2 linked regions of the Canis lupus familiaris genome follow. Each later gene encodes a partner of the first gene's protein in a complex. Links are inferred from orthologs where the notes say so. Each region holds a gene or a part of one and is shown in the gene's direction. Other genes may lie near its edges.

Region 1 (3,520 bases):
TATGGGAAAATGAGATCATTTTTTGAGTGCTTTAATTTTTCCAATAAAAGAAGCAAGATGATCTGGTGAAAGTCAGAAGTGCGAAGGAGTTTGTAAGGTTTGAGAGAGAAAGGAAATGGTGTGAAATAGGCATCTTGTAATGTGGGAGAAGGAATTGACTAAGGAAATGCCAGTGAAATGTTAAGGAATTCTTAGAGGGCTGATCTGACATGGGTGACCACTAAAGTGATTCCAGTTGACAGACAAGGGAAATGTGGTCCTGAGAGCATATATAGTTAAAAAGTGGGGACGACGCCTCCTCTGCTTCTATTTTGAATTCTAGTCACATGGTTGAGAGGATGGATCACTCTTGGAATATTTCCTCAGATCCACAAGATACTGACAGAGGAATTAATAAAAGCAAATAGGCCAGGAACAAATAATTTCATTTTTGCCTATGTTCAGTTTCTGTATCATGGTATTCCATGTAGAGGATGAGTTCCTAGAGGTGTTTATGTTGCCATATCTCCTTAAGTATGCCTGCTTGACACAAATGATATCAAGTAGCGTCTGGGCTACTTTTAGGGAATTATATTTGGTCGCTGAATTACGCTAAAGTGAAAAACTCTGATAACAAAGCTTAGTAATTTTTCTTGCTAGATAGCCTCACTTAAGTTTTCCCTGGGACCTTGGTTTCCATTAATCTAGAATTAGCACTCACATTGATTTCATACTTTGTGTTTGATTACAGGTGAATTCAAAGTCTGATTTTCTTTTCTTTCAGGTGCTGGAGAATCTGGTAAAAGCACCATTGTGAAACAGATGAAGTAAGTTGGAACATGGCCTTTTGTAAAACTACAGTTCCTCATAATGCACAAAAGCCCATAGTATCTTTTTCTTTTTAGGTCTGTGGTAATGATTTGTGGTTTTCTTTTTAAAGAATCATTCATGAGGATGGCTATTCAGAGGAAGAATGTAAACAATATAAAGTAGTTGTCTACAGCAATACTATACAGTCCATCATTGCGATCATAAGAGCCATGGGACGGCTAAAGATTGACTTTGGGGAAGCTGCCAGAGCAGTAAGTGTTTCTCATTTCCTCTTCACTTGCTTTCTTTTAGTAGATTCAGTTAAGGAAAATTTTCTTCGTGTTTTAGGGAAATGAATTTAAGCAACAAGATAAGATGGAGCAAAGTACTGTGTGCCCATTTGAAAAGTATTAGCAATCTGCTTTAGGAGATACTAGATTACCACCAGAAAGAAGAATTGAAGAAATGTAATTGTGTGGATATACTGTAGGTTTCTGTGACAGATCTTTTTTATTTGCTTCTTTATAGCACTGTTTTATTAAAGTAGTAAATACTAGTAAATTAAAATAATCTAAAAGAGGTAGATCTGCTTTCTGTGGCGTAAAGATAAAAGGCAAATATCAGACTTGAGAAGGACATGAATGCTAAGTCAAAATTTTAGGTACAATTTTTAGGTATTCAAAAATACTATATCACTGTACTATGTTGGACTGTAACCTATACAATTGGATTATTGCATGTCCTAGGACAATTCTTGCACATGTCAGATACTCAAAAGTTGTGTTGATGAATCATAATACGTGGTGCACCATGAAGTTCTCATTTGTGAATTAGGATGTTTGCTGCAATGGGAAGAGGGCCAAAATGAAGGCAGGAGATCTTTTATATCTAGTTGCACTGAGAGAACGCTGATCCTAAGAATGATTTCCTAGAACTAAAGGACTCATCAGCTGTGTTCAGAGTGCTATAGACAACAAAAGGGGGTGACTTGGGGAGGCTGCCTGGAAAGGCAAAGCCTGTGTGTCCGTGAAGTAGCTTAGGAACTCTTAGCTGCTCTTGATTTATCCATTAACAAGCTATTATAAATGCAAATTAATATTCAGTAAATAAGTGGAGAAATTGTTGATGGGAAAAAATCACTAAAGGATAGTTGTAATTGGTTGGTATTCGATTAGGGATACTAGAAGTGGACCTAAGGGAAGAGGAGCTGGGCTAAGTTTGTAAAATGACTGGAAAGAAGAGTAGCAGAAGAGGGGACAAGGAAATATGTGAGGCACAACTTTTATGTTTTTGTAACAAAAGATGTCATAGCATAACATCCTGAGACTTTTTCTAAGCATCTGAGGGGAAAATGGGATTGTGAATGTAAGAATGAACAATGCATTTTTGTCTTACATCTTTCTGTCCCTTCTCTGCCTCCTGCTTTTCTTTTCTTCCCTCTGGCCACTACCCCCCCCCCCCCCCCCAGTATTATTTTCTTCCCTTTTCTTATCCCTTCCTGTCACCCAGCTCTGCGTGTCTGTTTTGTTTGCCAGATCCGTTATAACTGGTCGATGCTACTGTATTTAGTCCTTTCCCTCACTTTGTTGGCTTTTTCTCCATCTCAGTTCTTTATGTCTTCTCTTCATTCCTTCCTTTTTAATTTTTCACTGTCTTCTTTTATATCTCTTGATGAACCTCTCCCTTCTTGTCTCTCCCTTGTCAAATTGGTTGTTATTAATGTTTGGGTCCTCACACTACTTTGTCACCAATACAGTTGACATTTTCTGTCTTTGTCCTGTTGTAACAAAACACCACAGACTTAGTAGCTTATCAACAACAGTCATTTATTGCGCACACTTCGGGAGGCAGGAAGTCTGAGGTCAGATGGGAAGTCTGGTGAGGGTCCTCTTCAGTTGCAGACTTCTCACTATGTCCTCACATGGCAGGAGAAAGGAGCTCTCTGGAGTCCCTTTTATCAGAGCACTAATTCCATTCATGGGACCTCCACCCTCATGACTGTAGTTGTACTTCCCCAAAGCCCCATCACCTAATACTATGACTTTGGGCATTGGAATTTAACATATGAATTTTGGAAGGACACAAACATTCAGACCACAGCATCTGTTCTCCTTTCGTTCCTTCCCTTTATCAAATGAGTGTCATTCCTCTTTGGGTCCTAACACTCCTATGTCACCAGATGCGGTCAACATCTCCTTCATTCCTGTTAGGCCTCCTGAATCACTTAGTTTTCCACCATCTACCCATCCTAATCTGCAACCCTATGTAATTTTTTGAAGTTTCTCTTTATCTAGTTTCTTACGGCTGTTTAGAGAGTGAATGGACAAGAATAGAGCCAGGTGAGGGGTAGGTTGCTTTTTCATATCTGCTTAAAGGTGGAGGTTTGAAGTTCATTGTAAAGAGGGGCCTCCTTAAAGGCCTAAAGAGGGTTTATTGTGGAGAAGCAAGAGTAGGTCAGTGGAGGAGATGTAAGTGGTAAGGGGAAAGTGATTCTGCTCAAAATTGTCCTTACAAAGGCAGGACAGCAGAAATATGTAGCAATAGCTCTCTCTCTTTTAAAGTTTTTATAATTAGAATTGCACTAGTAAAATGTAATGCTTATTGAGGTTTTGAATAGCTGTATGAGCATAGTTCAAATTTCAGAATGGACTGTAAAGTCTTCACATGTTAAAGCATTAGACATAGAAGGACATGTTCAATATTGAGTATGTTTGCCAATTTGTGTAATTTT
Region 2 (3,520 bases), on another chromosome or scaffold:
CTCAGCCAGGCCCCACAGGAGGGGGCCCAGGCCTAGAAACAGCAGATTTAGGAAGCTGAGCATTTCCTGCCCTCTCCATGCCTGGACCTGGGGGCCACAGCCTGGCTACCTCTGACCTCCCACAGGCTGGTGGGGAGGAGTGCTGGAGGGACAGCAGAGGCTTGGAGAACTAGGAAGGAGGGAGGAGGCGGGGAGGGGCGGGGGGGGGGCAGTGGGAATTGTCAGGCCCTGCCTGGAAGGCCCCACTATTGAAGAATGGATTATCCGACACCCAGATTAATGGACTTTCATTTTGCTAAACATCTGTCACCGTTAGTGCTGGCTCGCGAGCGTGAAATGAGCTTTGACTGTGCTGCCATCGCCATATCTGGCTGGGCGCTGTGGCTCCTGTGCCAGTGGCCGGCTCTGCACAGGGTGGCGGTGGGAGGCGCAGTCACTGAATGGGGACCTGGTGGAGGGGCTGTGGCACGGCCACTGGGAGTTACTCCAGGGCACCAGCAGACGCTCATCTCACTCCTGGCCCTGTGATCCCCCGAGGGCCCTTCCAGGGGCGCTACCCCCAGTATCTGCATGTAGCAGCGAGCAGCATTCCCAGGCACCTACCATGTGCCGGCCCTTGTACATACGGTCGCCATTTACCAAGTCCTGTCATGAGGTAAGTACTGTAACATCACACCCAGGTGACAGGTGAGGAGACGGAGGCACAGGGTGGGACTCACCCAGGATCACACGGCTGGAAGTGGTGGGGCCAGGCTTTGAATCCAGAGATTCTGGTCTGAAGTCCCAGCTCCACCACGACTCCCTTCAGACTCCCTTCTGCCCAAGTCCGTGGGACCCAGCGCGGGGCTCCTGGGTCCATCCCCCCGTGCCTGTCTCTGGGGGCGGTGAGGCCTGGACGGAGCCCTCTCTGACACCAACCCCCGCCCGCCTCCAGCTGTACATCCAGACCACGACGCTGACGGTCTCGGTGAGTCTGAGCGCCTCGGTGTCCCTGGGGATGCTCTACATGCCCAAGGTCTACATCATCCTCTTCCACCCGGAGCAGAATGTGCCCAAGCGCAAGCGCAGCCTCAAAGCTGTTGTCACCGCCGCCACCATGTCCAACAAGTTCACACAGAAGGGCAGCTTCCGGCCCAATGGTGAGGCCAAGTCTGAGCTCTGCGAGAACCTCGAGACGCCAGGTGAGCGCCCGGCCCTGCCCCCTTCCCCTCAGGGCTCACCCAGGCCCGCCTCCTTCTGGGAGAAGGCCAGCCTCCCCCTCCAACCTGAACCTGGCCATGCCCCTCCTGAGCCTAGTCCTCCAGGGTCTCGGGAGAGCCCTAAGGCCACAGGTGAGTGGGAGTTACAGGAGAACCTTGAGGCACCAAGTTAGTGCCCCTCTGCCCCGCCCATCGTGGTAACCTGGAGAGAACCTCAGGGTCCCACCCCACGTAGCCCTCCCTGCACCCCTCCAGGGACCTCTGTCCGCCAAGGGCAAGGCCATGAAGGGAACCTGGTTCATGAAGGGTAAAAGGGGACTCTGGGATTTCTCTGCCCTGGTACCCACATCTGGGCCTGTGCCTTTTCAGTCCCTCTGGGAAAAGGGGTTGTCTGGAGGGTCTCTGCTTCCTGGGCATGGAGGCCCGGTGCCAGCCTGGCCATCCCTGATCAGGGCCCTGAGATATGGGGACTCAGGAGGCCAGTCCCCAGGATGGGTCTGGGAAAGAGTAGATTGGATGGAGGGCTTTCAGGCACCTCAGTTCTCAGGTGGCAGGGTGTTTGAAGGGATTGTCCAAGGACACCTCTGTAGTAGAGAGTCATGCTTTGAGGGGGTCCTCGGCATCTGAGGGGCAGGCCTAAGGTCCAGGCCTGGGCAGGGATGTGCATGGGAGGGACCAAGACTACCATCTTTGCCAGCGTCTCTGGTCCCCCTGAAGCCTCCCCTGTGTGAGGAGAAGAGATAGAAAGAGAGGGGCAGGGCATGTGAAGGACAGATCAGACCTCGGGGGCACCAGTAATAATGGCGACTGTCTCTTGAACCCTGTGTCCCACACTACCATGTACCAGTGTTCATCTTCACAGCGACCTTGGAAGGCAGGTTATTTTTTATCCTCTGTGTAACACAGATGAGGAAAGGGAGGCTCAGCAAAGTTAGGGACTCACCTGGGTTGTACAGCCAGCAGGTGGCGGGGCTGGACTTGACTGCCACAGTGGTATCCCTACCGCCTCCAAAGAGTTGGAGTCCTCTGCCCTGGGGTGAGCCATGGGATCTCCTGCCTGTGGGGTGGACCTCCATGGGCCTCACTTCCAGCTGCTCTGGTGGGGGTGGCTGTGGTCATCCCCGCCCCACTGAGACCATGGCTCCCTCCCTGGACATCCTCCAAGTGTCCAAATAGTTTGAGTGGCAGCTTCTCCTGCCTCCTCGGCTCTCTGAAAGTCCTGGGGGGCTCTTATTGGTGGGGAGGGAGGAGAAGACCCCCTCGCCCCAGACTTTCCATCAGCGGGACCTGGGAGTTAGCACTCAGCTCTTCCGTCTTGTCCTGGGGAGAAGGCCAGAAATGGACATTGTTGATGGCAGCAGGAGGACATGGGCTAGACTACAGGAGGGTCTGGAACACAGGCTCCAGAGAGGAGGCCCACGGTCACCTGCCAGGAGGTCAGGAGAACAGGAGACCTGGCCTCCCTGGTGTGTGTTGGCTGAGGCAGCACCTCTCATGGGCTCCCCGCCTTGTGGCTCCAGGGAAGCATCTTCTCTTCCTTTCTTAGCACGGCCCCCACGTGTTGAGAGACTGCCATCTGTGGAAAGAAGGAAAGTCACTTCCTACATCCACACACAATTTTTCACTCCCAAAGCCTCTCCTTGTTGAGTGATCTTCACAGCTGTCCTGTGAGGTCAGGATAGGGCTAGAGGTTTGATCCCTGGCAGAGGCCCAGAGAGGATGAGTGACTCTCCTGAGGTCACACAGCAAGGCGGTGGCTGGCTGGCTGGCCCCACACTGTCTCTCCTTTGACCCCGACTTCACATGGCGTCCCTATCTCTGGAGTCCCATGCTCTGTGTGGAGTAGGATACATGGCTTTGACATGCCCCCTTCTTTGACATCCTGATGACAAGGTGTTTTTCCCTGCCCCATCTTCTACCAGAGGACCTCTGGTTCTCTTCAATCCTGCTCCTCCTCCCGGACCACCAGCTTCTTGGGAACCTACAGCCCTGGGACTCCCTTCAGGTGCCCCCTGGGCCTTCCACTCTGAGATGGGAAGGGGCATGGTCCTCCCAGGACTCCCCTCTTCTGGCCTTTTGTGTCTAGATCTGCAGAGACCCCAAATGCAGCCCCTAAGCAGACCCTTCTGTTCTAAGCAGGGATCCCTCACTGCTCCCCACCCCACACTCCTGACTGCCGTTTTCCTCTTTCCCACGGAGCTTTATCCTTCCTGGATTCATCTGTCATGCCTTATTCTGCTGGTGCGGGAGTGGGTCTGTCAAATGAGCTCTGCTCCAGGGCCCATCAGAGTGGAGCATTAGCCCTCTGGGGGCTATGGGGG

The links.
Region 2: the proteins of GNAI3 (region 1) and GRM4 are in contact, whole or in part, in a cryo-EM structure (PDB 8JD6), measured with the Homo sapiens proteins. The link is inferred for Canis lupus familiaris from reciprocal best matches to the Homo sapiens genes GNAI3 and GRM4. Residues at the interface, in NP_006487.1 of Homo sapiens: Ala31, Lys32, Val34, Lys192, Asp193, Leu194, Thr219, Phe336, Thr340, Ile343, Ile344, Asn347, Leu348, Cys351, Gly352, Leu353, Tyr354; in NP_000832.1 of Homo sapiens: Pro616, Lys619, Ala620, Gly622, Arg623, Glu624, Arg676, Ile677, Ile680, Phe681, Gln683, Gly684, Lys685, Arg686, Ser687, Val688, Ser689, Ala690, Ile694, Ser695, Pro696, Phe781.

What each region holds. Positions count from the first base shown.
Region 1 is NC_049227.1:42,747,708-42,751,227, reverse strand, and holds part of GNAI3 (guanine nucleotide-binding protein G(i) subunit alpha), read left to right. Parts: intron 1-763; coding exon 764-806; intron 807-919; coding exon 920-1,061; intron 1,062-3,520. UniProt on the Homo sapiens protein: Heterotrimeric guanine nucleotide-binding proteins (G proteins) function as transducers downstream of G protein-coupled receptors (GPCRs) in numerous signaling cascades.
Region 2 is NC_049233.1:3,528,725-3,532,244, reverse strand, and holds part of GRM4 (metabotropic glutamate receptor 4), read left to right. Parts: intron 1-537; coding exon of another isoform or gene 538-576; exon of another isoform or gene 577-934; coding exon 935-1,181; intron 1,182-3,520.